Linked DNA regions of Saccharomyces cerevisiae S288C. The gene in region 3 interacts genetically with the main gene of each other region. Each region holds a gene or a part of one and is shown on either strand. Other genes may lie near its edges.

Region 1 (3,328 bases), on a different chromosome or scaffold from region 3:
TGTTGCACTTTGAAAGTCTTTTCTAGCTCATTCTCAGGTTCCAAATAACCATTGGACTCGGGTAAAAGGTAATCTGTTGCCGCAGCAGAAGATACCGCCTTTTTATATTGCTCGTCTATTTTTTTCAAGCCTGCTCTTAGTTTTTTATCCTTTGTTTGAGTATGATTATTTTTAGCATTATTAGTATATGTGGAACGTTCAAATTTATTCTGGTTTTCTCTTTCTTTTATCTGGCGTCTGTGACCGTTCTTCTTGTGACCCATTGTGTCGTTGGAATCTGGTTCAGTTTCTTAAAGCTAGGATACTGAGTTTTTAATGCTATATATGGATTTTTTTTTACTATTGAACTCCAATTCAGTTCTATACATCGATTTTTCACGAACTCATCGCTTAGAAAATTTTCTTACCGTTTTTCTTTTTTTTTCAATTACCTGAAAAGAAAGCCGGGAATAATGTCGGGTTATGAGAACAATGTATTATATTACTGAACTATCTAGAATTTATAAGTACGTCAATAAGCCTAAGACAATTAGCACAAACGAAATGTCAGTGATTAGCATGGACAATAGATCCCAGTATTGCAAAAGGGTAATTAGCTTCCCCTTCAGGTTGGCGACGGGAATTACTCCCTCGGGCACCAGTGAAACTAACTTGACAAGTTTATTGGTATCTTGTAAATTTTTAATCTTGCTCTTGTGTTCCACATTCTTCAATAGCTGGTAGTAGATGGATATGGAAAGGAACTCAAACGTGGCAAAAATTCTAGTGAAATTCGATGGGTTCCGCAAAGGTGCAAACCAAGCTGATTGAGTAAATGCATAGGCCGGCCACACAGAGGAATTTGGTCTTGTGATTAGGTATAGATAGGGTAGTAGGAAAAAGACCCACTTCACAAGAATGGTCCAGGCTTTCAGTCTGTTCAGCAAGTAATCATGGTAGTCCAAAGCAGCTTGATTGATCGGGGCTGCAGGAGCCGCTTGACCAAACGATGGTGTACCCTCTGCACTGGGCATGCCAGTGTTCATAGAACTTAGTAGTGAGAGTAGATCGGGCGTAGAGGAGTCCTGAGGGGTACTTTTACCCGTACCTTGGCCTTGCATGGCAGCGAGCTGTTTCAATAGGTCCAATTGGGGCGCTACGTTGCTATCTTCTTTGATATCTGGAGTAGCCGAATGCACACTCGCAGGTGGTGTGGTCTTTGCAGCGCTAGGAGCGTCTAAAGGTGATTCTGCGTTCAAATGACTGCTTGCCTGCCCGGTGATTTTATTAAGCCTGGAGCTGGCACCTCCATTGCTAAACTTCTTCTGTCTCCTTTCCCTTAGTAACCTGCGCTTTTCCGCCTCTGTTAATTCAGACATATTTCCTAGAGCTACGTTGCTGATGCTACAAACATGGAAGAGCTCATTTGTACATATCCATATCATTCAAATCTTTTCATGTTCCTATTCTTGTTCTTTTGTCCCAGCAAACGCGCACGGCGGGGTCACCCCAAATTTTTATTTACCTTATGTTATAAGAGCAACCATCTCATCCCCAAACTTCTCCCTCCCTCCCTTTTCACAAAGAGAGTAATGCTCAACCCAAGTAGCCATCCGCCTTCCCCGGATTTTCCCACAGGATCTTCTGCAAGTCCTAGGGTCAAACTGAGACCATCCACGTTGTGGGCACCACCACTCACAGTATCCTCTGACTTTGCGGCTTCCAGTAGTTCTACTGCCCCTGTCACCGTCACAGATAAACCTGTCACACCCGCTGTATCAAAGCGGTATCAACCTTAACTCAGATTTTCAAGAAACAGAATAGCACATTCTCTAACATCAAGTTATCATACCAATATATAACACAAATTATGCATAAATAGATAAGTAATATGTCCCTCTGCCCCTGCCTTTCCCTTTCCAGATGCTGGCATCGAAAGTAAGGCATGTATTTGTATGTAAGTTTTTTAATTAATAGTCTTCTTCTTTCTTATCAGTCGTGCTCTTCTTTCCAAATTAATAGGTTTGAATCTTATCGGAATCACCTGGAATTCGTTCTCATTACATGGCCGCCCACCATGCACCTTTACATTTCGTATTTCTTTCCTCTCTGCGCTATATCTTTGGGAAAGATTTGCAATCAAGGCAAACACCCGCTTGTCCCCTTTCAATTCTTGTGTTATTTCAAAAACCATCCTTTCATAATATATTTGTATTTCTTTCGCCCTGGACTCTACCAGTTCATATTTAGAACCTTCCACATATCGTCCAATTCTGCAGCCCACATCTTTTTCCACCACGATACGGGAAACAGAATGGGTCCTTGGATTCTCGCTAAACAGTCTCTCTATTCCCCTGTTCAAAACCCTCAAGATATTTGTTTCCCGCAACAGCTGCAATTGCAATTGATCAATCCTATGCGAAAATGCCGAGTTTATGTTATTCAAGACGCATTTTAAAAAATTCACTAGCGGCTCCTTGAAATTCATTATGTCTGATGAATATGAAAACCTTTTCCTGACTACCAAGACTCTTTAACTCTTCTCTCTTTATTGCATATTATCTCTGCTATTTTGTGACGTTCAATTTTAATTGACGCGAAAAAGAAAAAATAAGAAGGGCAAAAAGAAAAAGCGCAGCGGGTAGCAAATTTGGAATCGCATAAAAAGAAAAAAAAAATATCAAAGAAAAAGAGTCATCTCAAACATATGTCTGCAGATACTTCATTATCAGCTTTGAAAACTTTTGTTGTTGCTGCTTTGAGTTCTTTCTTGTGTGAGTGCTACAAGCCACATTTAAACTAAGTCAATTACACAAAGTTAGTGATGTCAGCTACTCTACTAAAGCAACCATTATGTACGGTTGTTCGGCAAGGTAAACAGTCCAAAGTGTCTGGATTGAACCTTTTGAGACTAAAGGCTCATTTGCACAGACAACACCTGTCACCTTCCTTGATAAAACTACACTCTGAATTGAAATTGGATGAGCTGCAAACTGATAACACCCCTGATTACGTCCGTTTAGTTTTAAGGTCCTCTGTATACGATGTTATTAATGAATCTCCAATCTCTCAAGGTGTAGGTTTGTCTTCCCGTCTAAACACGAATGTCATCTTGAAAAGAGAAGATCTATTGCCTGTTTTCTCTTTCAAGCTTCGTGGTGCCTATAACATGATTGCCAAGTTGGACGATTCTCAAAGAAACCAGGGTGTTATTGCCTGTTCAGCTGGGAATCATGCCCAAGGTGTGGCCTTTGCTGCTAAACACTTGAAAATACCTGCTACTATCGTTATGCCTGTTTGTACACCATCTATTAAGTATCAAAATGTCTCGAGATTAGGGTCTCAAGTC
Region 2 (4,352 bases), on a different chromosome or scaffold from region 3:
ACTGTTAGACATGATGACAAAGATTACTATGGTGCATTTACCGACGAAGAAGCGAGAAAGAAGGGCATGATTCCATACAGTGAAATTTCTGAGGAAGAAATCCGTGCTTACACGTTAGGCGAATGCTACACAACTGGACACGAATACAAACCTGAGAGTTCTGATAACGAATCACCTGAATTGATCAAAACTAGCTCAGAAAACACTAACGTATTTGAAATCGTTCACCAAAAGGATGATGAAAAGCACTCCTTTAGTACCACTCAACAAGTTGTCTGATGACAAAGAATCCGATAAAATGAAGATCTCAAATATACAAAGAGGAAACTTCAACGCTTCATTTGAAAATCTGTACAGATCTTACAATTTGGGAATACTACCAGATCGATCCTCAGCTGCAAATACTTTACTGTCAAGTATGTCTATGGTGACAAATATCGGCATTATTGTGTATGGCTCAATAATTTTATAAAAAAAGGAACTATTGGTTCTTAGTATTTTCTTGCTAGAAGACATATTCTTACCAATCCTTTCATAAGCTAATTATGCCATCCATATAGCAAGAGAATCCGGTGGGGGCGCCATGCCTATCCGGCGGCAACATTATTACTCTGGTATACGGGCGTAACTCCATAATATGCCACCACTTACCTTTAACATGTTCATGGTAGGTACCCCACCCAGCCATAAGGAAATTTTCAAAGGCGTTGGATCAAAAAATAGGCCTTTATTTCATCGCGTGATTGAGGAGCATAACATGTTTAGTGAAGGTTTCTTTTGGAAAACTTCAGTCGCTCATTATTAGAACCAGGGAGGTCCAGGCTTTGCTGGTGGGAGAGAAAGCTTATGAAGCTGGGGTTGCAGATTTGTCGATTGGTCGCCAGTACACAGTTTTAAAAAGTCAGAGAATGTAGAGAAGTATGGATCTTTGAAACCCTTTTATTTTATTTTACTTTTTTTAGAATGACCTGTTCCCGACACTATGTAAGATCTAGCTTTTAACATATTATGGAAACCTGAAATGTAAAATCTGAATTTTTGTATATGTGTTTATATTTGGGTAGTTCTTTTGAGGAAAGCATGCATAGACTTGCTGTACGAACTTTATGTGACTTGTAGTGACGCTGTTTCATGAGACTTTAGCCCTTTGAACATATTATCATATCTCAGCTTGAAATACTATAGATTTACTTTTGCAGCCATTTCTTGGTGCTCCAAGGTTGTGCGTATCTATTACTTAATTTCTGTCCTTGCCAAGTTTTGCAGCAGGGCGGTCACAAGACTCCTCTGCCGTCATTCCTTAGTCCTTCGGGAACACACTTATTTATGTATTTGTATTCTACAATTCTACGGTGCACAAGGGTTGGGCACTGTTGAGCTCAGCACGCAACTATTGCTGGCATGAAGATAAGATTGATTTTTGGAAGAATAAGCTTGTGGAAGTTACCTGTCTCTTATTTTTTTTTCCTTTTTGCACTTTTTTTTGGTGATCACTTAGGTAACAATCTATAACACAGCAGTATGAACCCACTAGTTAACCATTCTGCGCCGATGGTATACCTTTTTCATTGCTTAATTGTCTGTGAGAGGCTTGATAAGCTAAGGCTCATGGCGATAAATCCACGATGAACTCGTTTAATGCAAAATATAGGTCGCGGCTTGCCGGGTACCAAGTCGCAACAAAGCTCCCCGAATTGTTTCGCCCATTCATCTGACAGGACAGAATGCCAAACATATGATGCATGATGCAGCAAAGAGCACAGTAATCACTATTTTCTGCATATCATATAGCCAGATTGCTATAGTGTTTGGCTTTTGTCCTGCTGTTAATTGTTTTGTTTTCTTTCTATTTTTATAACTATTATTGGAGAGTAGATCAAGGATACAAATAACAACAACAACCACCAATACCGACCACTTAATAAAAGTAACCATATAATGGGTGTGAGATCCGCTGCAAAGGAAATGCACGAACGGGACCATAATTCGGACAGTTCCAGTTTAGTAACTTCCCTGATGAAATCTTGGAGGATATCGTCGGCTTCTTCCTCCAAGAAGCCATCGTTATACAAAATGAATACTACTGAATCTACTAGTTTACCCTCGGGTTATGCTTCCTCGGCAGATAGAGATCGGAGAACCAGTGACGGTAATTTTGAAGCTATGGCAAAGCAACAAGCAAGCACTAGACGTACCTCGAATTCCTATTCACCTCTACGATATGTAAACCCCACTCTAAGCACTGCAAGTAACGAAAGTCCCCGGCCTGCTTTACTCTTACGTCAGCATCACCAGCGTCATCACCACCATCAACAACCCCGCCATAGCAGTAGTGGTAGTGTAGGCAACAATTGCAGTAACAGTACAGAGCCTAACAAAAAGGGTGATCGATATTTCAAAGACTTAGATGAGGATTGGAGTGCTGTTATTGACGATTATAATATGCCTATTCCTATACTTACTAACGGTGGATTTGGTACACCTGTAGCTCCAACGAGAACTTTGTCGCGAAAATCCACTTCTTCTTCCATCAATTCGATTTCGAATATGGGGACCTCCGCAGTACGGAATTCTTCCTCCTCTTTTACATACCCTCAATTACCACAGCTGCAAAAAGAGAAAACAAATGATTCCAAGAAAACTCAGTTGGAAATCGAAAACGAACGGGATGTTCAAGAATTAAACTCCATCATCCAGCGCATTTCTAAATTTGACAATATTTTGAAAGATAAGACAATCATAAATCAACAGGATCTGCGCCAGATCAGTTGGAATGGTATCCCAAAAATACACAGGCCTGTTGTTTGGAAATTATTAATAGGTTATTTGCCTGTGAACACCAAGAGACAGGAGGGTTTCTTACAAAGGAAGAGGAAAGAATATAGGGATAGTCTGAAACATACCTTTTCTGACCAGCACTCAAGAGATATCCCAACTTGGCATCAGATAGAGATAGATATACCGAGAACAAATCCCCACATTCCCCTCTACCAGTTCAAATCCGTACAGAACAGTTTACAACGAATACTATATCTTTGGGCAATCAGGCATCCTGCTAGCGGATATGTGCAAGGTATTAATGATTTAGTTACACCATTTTTCGAGACTTTTCTTACCGAATATCTGCCGCCTTCACAAATAGATGATGTAGAGATAAAGGACCCCTCTACTTATATGGTAGATGAACAGATTACAGATTTAGAAGCGGACACGTTTTGGTGTCTTACCAAATTGCTCGAACAAATTACCGATAACTATATTCACGGACAACCAGGCATATTAAGACAAGTGAAGAATTTGAGTCAGCTAGTGAAACGAATTGATGCTGATCTATATAACCATTTTCAAAATGAACATGTGGAGTTTATACAGTTTGCATTCAGATGGATGAATTGCCTTTTGATGAGAGAATTTCAAATGGGTACAGTAATAAGGATGTGGGACACATATTTATCTGAAACTTCACAAGAGGTCACTTCTTCTTATTCTATGTCGTCCAATGACATTAAACCTCCTGTTACTCCAACAGAACCTCGAGTGGCAAGTTTTGTTACACCAACAAAAGATTTCCAATCTCCCACCACAGCTCTTTCTAATATGACACCAAACAATGCTGTTGAAGACAGTGGAAAAATGAGACAGTCTTCGTTGAATGAGTTTCATGTGTTTGTTTGTGCTGCATTCCTCATCAAGTGGAGTGACCAGCTAATGGAAATGGATTTCCAAGAAACTATAACTTTCTTACAGAACCCTCCTACAAAGGACTGGACTGAAACGGATATTGAAATGCTTCTGAGCGAAGCCTTTATTTGGCAATCTCTTTACAAAGATGCTACGTCGCACTGGCTGTAAACGGACCTATTCATTTTACTTACTGTATAGTATGTAATAATATAAAACAAAAATCTCCTAATTCATAAATCCTGAGGAACGTGACACATAAAGTTATTGTATACAGATCATCTAAAGATTGGTTTGGTAGAATGTCTCCCAAAGCTCGATGCATTCTTTTTGAGATTCAATGGCCGCTTCTAGTGATATTTCCATGCCGTTTCGGAATTCCCGAATTTTATCAGTAGAGAAACCTTGGAATTCATCTTTTATTTTATCTCCTACCGCTTGCCATTGTTTTTTTGTAAGGTTATACCTTCTCTCCAATGTTTGAAATTCCTTTCTCATTTCTCTGAATTTTTCTGAATGAATATTTTGACCCAATTTGCCCAATTGTGAGTGTTTCTTATTCATGTCATTTTCTATTACTACCAAGAAATACCCCAATTTGGATCTCTGATTGAAAATTGCTTTTACGCTTGCCAATGACCTAATATAGTCGTCCAGCATCACACCCATCG
Region 3 (8,047 bases):
AGATTATTTGTATCGCCGTTTGCATGATGAAAACTTAATGGTACAAAGAACATGTTTAATGACAGTTACCTTCTTGATTTTAGCTGGACAGGTTAAGGTTAAAGGACAATTAGGAGAAATGGCCAAATGCCTAGACAATCCAGACCAGGGAATAAGTGATATGTGCAGATTATTTTTCACCGAGTTAGCATCCAAGGACAACGCCATTTATAATGGATTCATCGATATCTTTAGTAATTTATCGTCAGATGATTTATTGGGTAAGGAGAGTTTCAAGAAAATCATCAAATTTCTGTTAACTTTTATCGATAAGGAACGGCACCAAAAGCAATTAAACGAGAAATTAGTTGGAAGACTGAGAAAGTGCGAGACCCAAAAGCAATGGGATGATATTGCATTCGTACTAAACAATCTACCATACAAAAATGAAGACGTCACTGCATTATTGGAGCAAGGTTTCAAGGTTGTATCCGCAAAAGAATAATCGAACTGACGTTTACCCGTTTCTTCCGTTTTATATTATATGTTATTATATAAATAAAAGCTGTTCATTTCTTTCTTCTTGAAATATGACTTTACCTATCTCGATAAAATTCATTTGTGGTCGTCTTCATTCACTCCTGGGCAATGCTCGTAGAGATCACCTTCATCCTTATACTTGATTCCGCAAAAAAAACAGTAGTACTTCTCGGACCTCAGGAATATATTCAATTTTGTTATTCTTTTTTCAATGCTCAATTCTTCTAATTCAGCAAGTTCTGTGTCTTTTGTAATGCGACTACCGATAATTGAAGTATCACAATCTATTAATGTAGAAGGACGTCCAAACTTTTCACCTTTTATTGCAGGCGAAGCCTCCAAACTTTCATTTACCATTGGTATCATATTATTCTTATCTTCATTATCATTGTTACTGTGATTATTTAGGTCATTTTTTGCTACTTCCTCATTTAGTTGCATAACGTAAGATCTCCAAAGTACGTTAAAGTCTCTCGGATCTTCGCCTGGATTGTATAAATCGGAATCACCCATCATTTCAAAAGCAACTTTTTGGATCCTATACCAAATTTTTTTTAACCGCTTATTATTTTTCATTTCACTTTCTCTTTTTATAAATCGTTGTTCACTCATCTGCATGTCATTCATTGTTGATGGGTCGGGCTTTTCTGCACGAATTCCCCTCCTTTTTGTATTGATTTCTACCTTAATAGGCTCTTTTAGGGCACTTTCATTACTACCTAATGTTTCTCCTTCTTTGTAACCCATGTTTTCCATCATTTTATAACCCCTGGGCATGATTGAACGTAGTGATGTGCGTGCAGTTTCGTCATTTGTTGAATCTCTTTTTGACTTCTTCTGAGGCGGTGTATTCTTCAAATCTATGCGATCCTCTTTTCTTTTTGTCTTACTCTCCTCCATTTTATGCCCTCCCTGAAAGTGATGGTAGATGTGTAGCGTACCTCTTATTGTCCGTCCTCTTATTCTGTAATTCTTAAATTAAATTCAATCCAGTAAATATTACAATTGAATTGATACCTAATTTTTTCTATTGACTATATTTCAGAGTCAACGTGATCGTTCTAACTTTCATTATCGATTATAGATATTATTCTCAGCAGTGGAAATCTTTTTATCTCAACTCGTCACCACACAAAAAAATGGAGACAGGATCCGGAAGACTCAGGAGGATAGAGCAACGTTATTGAACAGTGTTTTTAATTGTTTCATTCTTAGTCTTTAATTTATTTACTTTAAACCGACGGTTATATAGTACGTATTCTATTATTTTTTAATCACAAAATCTCAAATAGGCATGCCTTATGTTGTTGTGAAACTAAGGTATATAAAACAAACAACTTTCAAAAAAAGAAAATGAGAGTAGGAAAAAGGTGGATGATGTGAGAATTTTAACAACCTTTATTTAAAACCGTTCACAATCTTGGGTATTTTTGGGATACCATCTCTTTCCAATTGTTTAGTGAGTTCTTCTTCCAGACCCCTTTTCCACAAATCATGATTTTCACCAATAGCGTAGGTGATTGTCTTGTTCATGTAGCCTTCTGGTCCTAGATAATTTAACATTTCAATGATGTCTTCCAACAAGATGGCCTTGCCCGCGGCAATACTATTACCTAAACCGGGATGCTTTATGTTAACGATGTGAATGTGGAAATGATAATAAGAAGGTTGGTAGTGAACCAAAATTCTCAACTCATCCGGATGGACAGCATAGTTGTAACAACCAGGAACAATGGATCTAATCTTGTTGTTCAAGTTGATTAACCACTGTCTGTCAGAATATCTTAAATCCCTTATTGTCTTGATATCGGTCCTGTAGACGATCGCAACTAGATATAAAGAGTCTAAGTTCATGCCATCCCATTTCATATCAGGTAAAATTAGGAAGCCGTCGTCCTTATTCTCCTCAGAAAAATCTTTATAAACGACCCTTTCTGACTCAGCGCCTTCATAAAGAATGTTGTTTACCCATTTAAGTCTACCGTTATTACACATTTCTTCGATGTAAGGCTGAACAATTCTCTTGTACATCTCAGGAGTCTCTCTGACTAAATGAAAGTTTTGTTGTTCATATTTCTTGATATGAATTGGAGTAGCAGGCCAAATTAAATTCAACTTGGCGGTAGGGTTCGACTCCATATCCTGCTTTATCACTGACAAACCCCAGTAGTAAATATCATTGGAAGTAATCTCCTTTAATTCCTGAATTCCGTTGATGCAAGAATATTCGTTTTCACAATTATATAAAACTGGAGTGGAGCGGCCATCTTGAGAGGGTCTTCTCACGGTTTCGTCAAATAGAAAGTGCGTCTTTTCAGCCGTGATAATAGCATCCTTGTTGTCAATGGTTCCCAATAAGGACATAACTTTGGTTTGAGGGTTGGAATCGAGGACACTAACAAATTGGAATCTCTTGATCAATGAAGCAAAATCTGTTGGCAGTTGAGACATGGTATATGCTAATTTTGTCGTTTCGCTTTCTTTTTTTTTCCAGGAATTATAACTTAATACTATGTGATTATTTAGTTAATACACAGACAGTTAATAGAGTAGTGATGGCAATTCGATCATCCAAAAGAGTTGGAAAGCCTCTTTTCCTTCGATATATAGTGATGATATCCTTGAAAAGACTCCCTAAAAAGTGCAGGTGCGGCGGGTCACCTGCCAGCTTGCCTGAAAAATACGTAATTATGTCAAATAAATTGCCATACTATACTAATACTGAACTAGACTATGTTATACACTTGGACCAAATTGATCGGGATTTGTGATGTGGGATGATGGGGTGACGTCTATTTGAGGAAGATCCACCAGAAGAGAAAGACGAAAAAGAAAGCGACAATGACAATAGGAGCATATTGACTGATCAAGAGATCGAAGTTGATCTTTTGCGCGGACTTTCTGTACCTTTTGGATGTTTCTTTCAAAGAAGAACTCATGTCACTCATTTTATCGAGAGAATCTCCCCTGTAAAGTAGGTCTTCGATGTTCTTGGACATGATTTGCTTGACACCTACAAGCTCTTGGTTTAGTTGGTCCAAATTGTCCTGAACTTTCTTATCACTGTATGACTTTTTTGTCATCTGTAGAAAGTTATCAAAGTTTACAAACTGGTATGGTCTTACGGTAGGCTTGGGGTACTCATTAGCAAATGAGTGTTCAAATTCTTGCGCTATATCGTTAAGGTATGAGAATGCTAAGTTTCTTGGGTATCCAGATTCGCAAATGACGAAGTAGTACACCATGGATTTCTTCAAATAATGGATCTCAAAGGAGCCACTTTCCAAAGTAGCCTCCGTGGCAGACTGTGGTGTCAATCTGGAAACGACGATTTTCACCTTTTGCTTTTGTTCAAATAATGAGGGATCATTTTCGTTGTCCACAGACGTACAAAGAGGCAGCCCATCTTCTCTGTAGATTAGTGTTGACTTTATCATCCCTACTTAATTGTGAGTGTGTAACGGGGTGTCACTGTCAGGGTTTTTGTTGGTTTTGGGTAATAATAGGTTGTAGATATATTATATTACATGGGCTCTACTTGTTTATCTTCTATGGTAGAAAAAGACCGAAAAATGAAAACAAAAAGCGTTGAGGATTTATTGCTAAAAAAAAATTCGTTTATGACGTCTCTTATTAGATAAATCAAGTGATAACTAGAGAAATTTATTTAATTATATATGCTAGTACAACACGTTTGGTTGAAAATTAGACCTCAAACCACGACAAACTTCTGTCTTATATCGAAGAAAGTTGGGAAACTCTCCCGCAGGTCCAGATTTGGTAAATGGTCTTGTAGGTTACTGATATTAAGAACGTAGTTAGAGTCGTCCTCTAATTGAGCAAATCCCAATTTCTTGCATTGTGGTAGTTCATTCCATGAAGTGAACTCTATACAACTCATATCATTTGACGCTTGTTTTTGGTGTTGGGTGGTGTCGCAAAGGGTATTGTTGATGAACAGTTCCTGCAGATTTGGTAGGTAAAATCCCTGGATTCGGATGGATGAACATTTTTCAATACGTATGATTTTGACAGTGAGCGATCTTAAAGAGTTGTTCTTCAAGCAAATCATTGGCCTCTTTAAATGGTGTCTTTGTTTGAAGGTATCATCGCTAAATGAAGAAGTAAAGGGGATCCAGTTGATTATTTGAGTTTTTTCTACCCCCTCAGGTATCAACTTGACTCTGAAATAGCAAGTACCATCGTTGGTTTCGTTAATTGCCATTTCTTGCAAAATTTTAATGTTTCCCCTCAATGATTTGATGTACCTTTCTGGTGAACCTGAAAATGTTGTTTCGTCATACTTGAATTTGTGCCCAGTGAATTCTTTAATCTTGGGCATTGACCAATTTTTCAAAGAGTGCAACTGAAAGAGGAAATTTATCGAGATATTCTCACTTAAACATTTGTTTAGAACATATGAAGATAAATCTATGAAGTTACAACATTGGGTAATCTCATTATTGTTTGGGTAGGTAGACATCTTAATAAAATTCAAGGTAACCAAATTAGGGAAGCTGATATGAAAATTGTTGAAGAATTGTTGCAAGATCGACTTGATAATTAAAGCTGCTACTGTCGTTGTCGAGTTTAAATTTAAATTTTTATCCACGTCAAACTCATTGTTCCTTTCAAATGTTTTTATCTTTGTTGTTAGTTTATGCAGTATCGAATTAAAGAATGAATCAAGGGCCATATAATCCAAATTCAATGTTTCAACAAAGGGAAAACAGATTTTCTTGCAAATGGGGGGTCTTTTCTTCCCCTTTTCGTTAGTCTTAGAAAAGAAGTTTCTATAGTTTTTATTAATCAGCTGAAAAATATCGGGATCAAAAATCCCAAAGAAATTTTGATCCGAATAGATATTTGAATCCACGAAGTCCAGATACAATGTGTTAATATCAATATCTGCGACTATGTTCGCAATATGTAATTTTTCCAAAGGTGAATAAAACGAACTCTTTATATTGCGAACACAGAATACGAACTCGATTATGTTTGAATTGGAATTCGCCAAGGGGAAGAAGGTTTCTATGAGTTTCAAATCTGAGAATTCGTCAAATATAACAATAAGTTTTTCTGCTTTTAAATTCTGGGCCTTGTCAGCATTGGTTTCCAAATCAACAACTCTGATATATTGTGCGTCCATGTCAATGTATGGCAACAATCTCTTCAGAAACCCGTACTCCGCTCGTAAAATCGAGTCTTGCGTGGCCTCACAGGTCAGATCTAAAACCATCAAATTCTTCCTAACGTAATTTGTCAAGAAGTCTTCCGTTATAGAGCCACCACCTCTCGAAGAGACAGAAAAATCAATTAGAGCCACTAAATTGTACAACCAATATTGAGAGTCTGTTTCCACCACAGTGAACTCAAATATCCTTTGGATAAGCTCAGTAGGCAAATACGTTAAAGCGGCAACCATCCTTTTCACTTCTACCCGGAGAATATATAACTTTCGAAATCACAGCCTATATATTGCACAAATTTCACGTAGAGCTCTAGCTGTGAAGATAGAATCATCAACTTTAAATTTGCTTAAATCTATTTATACAAGAAATGATCAACTGAATAAAATAACGAGCGGCTGAAAATTAAGGGTTCTTTCGTGTGTGGAGTTACAGTCCGTTGCAACGCCTTTCCAACATGCACACAAAACCAACAGTGGCTTATTCGCCAGAGGGTACAACAATGACTCAGAAATCATGAAGAGGCATTAACAGCGGTCAGCAGTGGAGCAATAACAACAGGGTCATTACTTCTTTACTACTTGTACTTAGAATACATCACGACAAGGTGCAATGCGGCGCCTTTCCGCGTTGACAAACTCTTGAAAAGCCCATGACAGGTGGAAAACACGTGGTTGGTACGGGACGAATAAGAAAGAGGCAAACGGCACTTAGTTTGTTGGGATGGATGGATCCCATTTTCCTATGAAATCTACTACCGGAGAGCCCGTTTCAAGTGGTAAGAAGGGCAAGAGGAGGAAGGTCATCAAGTCATGTGCATTTTGTAGAAAAAGAAAACTGAAATGCAGTCAGGCCAGGCCTATGTGTCAGCAATGTGTAATTAGAAAACTACCGCAATGCGTTTACACAGAAGAGTTCAACTATCCCTTGTCTAATACGGAACTGTTCGAGCAAGTGCCCAATGTAGCGTTGGTTCAGAAGATTGAGAATTTGCAGACTCTACTGAAGGAAAACGATAACAATAATGCGAAACCGGTGTATTGCAGGAGTTCAGAAAATCCATTACGGTCACTGAGAACTTCGGTTTTAGGTGATAATGGCTCGAGGTATGTGTTTGGCCCCACTTCCTGGAAAACTTTATCTTTGTTTGAACAAAATAAGTTTCAAACTGAGTTTCAAAATTTATGGAAAGTCTTGAAACCACTTCCTGAATGCACTAAATCGCAATTAAATGAAAATGATGTTGTAGCAGATTTGCCTAGTTTTCCTCAAATGGAAAGCTGTATTAAATCTTTTTTTGCTGGACCGCTGTTCGGCATATTGCATATCTTCAACCAAGACGATATTCTGTCCCTCTTGGACAGACTTTTTATTAGAGATACCACGGACAAGAACCTAGTCATCCTCCTCGATTTGCAAGGTAATGCAAAAGATAAGTATAATCTTGGCATTGTACTTCAAATTCTTTGCTTGGGCTATTATAACCAAGATATCCCTTCTTCCGTGAGTCATTTCCTTCACACTTTAAGTGCAGCGTCCTTGTCATCATCGAGCTCAAATTTCGTGGAAAAACTACAATTTTTCTTATTGTCCTATATTAGTGTAATGATAAATTGCACGGACGGTGTATGGGATGCGACTCAAGGCGTTGACTTAATCAACGAGCTATGCCAGGGGTGCATAAGTTTGGGTTTAAATGATATTGATAAATGGTATTTGAACGAAAGTGAGGAAACCAAACAAAACTTGAGGTGTATTTGGTTTTGGGCTTTATTCCTTGATGTATCCACCTCATATGATATAGGTAATCCTCCGTCTATTTCAGATGATCTTTTGGACTTAAGTATATTTACTGCGCAGAATTTCCAATCACCGAGTATTGACTTTAGGAGAGTTAAGCTAATGCACGATTTTTTAGATGTTTCCCGATTCACTACTCGTGAAATTCACAAGAGAGAGATGAACGAAAAATTGACCACTTTTTCATTGAGATTGATTGAATTTATACAATCTAACTTTTCACCTATCGAACATTATACAAATTCAGTTTACTACTCTGATATTGATCCCTTTGATATATTGATTTTATCAAGATCTCTAAGTATAGTTGCTAGTATATACAATATTGAGATGATCATCGCTCAACAAAGCAGAATCATAGATAAGAACAGAATGGTTCAGTTCTTGTTGATATCCATATCAGTCTGTGTTAATACAATGGTATTTCATTTTAAAGAGCCTATCAACGACCAGGAGAACGTGTTAACTGAAGGGCTAAAACTGTCTATTATTCTAATCAATCCACTTTTAATACGAATAGTATCGCAAGTGTACAGTTT

What was found. A genetic interaction does not mean that the proteins touch.
Region 1: mutations in SEC22 (region 3) and GET2 together harm fitness more than expected from each alone (negative genetic interaction), as found in Saccharomyces cerevisiae (6 studies listed by BioGRID, with this or other methods).
Region 2: mutations in SEC22 (region 3) and GYP1 together harm fitness more than expected from each alone (negative genetic interaction), as found in Saccharomyces cerevisiae (6 studies listed by BioGRID, with this or other methods).

Annotation. Positions count from the first base shown.
Region 1 is NC_001137.3:325,674-329,001, forward strand, and holds GET2 (GET complex subunit GET2), read right to left. Parts: upstream 1,359-3,328; coding exon 501-1,358; downstream 1-500. Other genes in the region: UTP7 (Utp7p), read right to left, coding at 1-263; YER084W (uncharacterized protein), read left to right, coding at 1,392-1,778; YER085C (uncharacterized protein), read right to left, coding at 1,946-2,467; threonine ammonia-lyase ILV1, read left to right, coding at 2,804-3,328. UniProt on the Saccharomyces cerevisiae protein: Required for the post-translational delivery of tail-anchored (TA) proteins to the endoplasmic reticulum.
Region 2 is NC_001147.6:455,407-459,758, reverse strand, and holds GYP1 (GTPase-activating protein GYP1), read left to right. Parts: upstream 1-1,938; coding exon 1,939-3,852; downstream 3,853-4,352. Other genes in the region: NRT1 (nicotinamide riboside transporter), read left to right, coding at 1-279; VPS5 (sorting nexin 1), read right to left, coding at 3,964-4,352. UniProt on the Saccharomyces cerevisiae protein: GTPase-activating protein (GAP) that stimulates specifically the intrinsic GTPase activity of Ypt/Rab-type GTPases YPT1 and YPT7. Functions on the Golgi as a negative regulator of YPT1. Functions on the vacuole as a negative regulator of YPT7.
Region 3 is NC_001144.5:676,109-684,155, reverse strand, and holds SEC22 (SNAP receptor SEC22), read right to left. Parts: upstream 3,957-8,047; coding exon 3,312-3,956; downstream 1-3,311. Other genes in the region: condensin subunit YCS4, read left to right, coding at 1-484; CMG1 (Cmg1p), read right to left, coding at 595-1,419; DCS1 (5'-(N(7)-methyl 5'-triphosphoguanosine)-(mRNA) diphosphatase), read right to left, coding at 1,918-2,970; BOP2 (Bop2p), read right to left, coding at 4,232-5,944; PDR8 (Pdr8p), read left to right, coding at 6,432-8,047. UniProt on the Saccharomyces cerevisiae protein: Nonessential SNARE involved in targeting and fusion of ER-derived transport vesicles with the Golgi complex as well as Golgi-derived retrograde transport vesicles with the ER.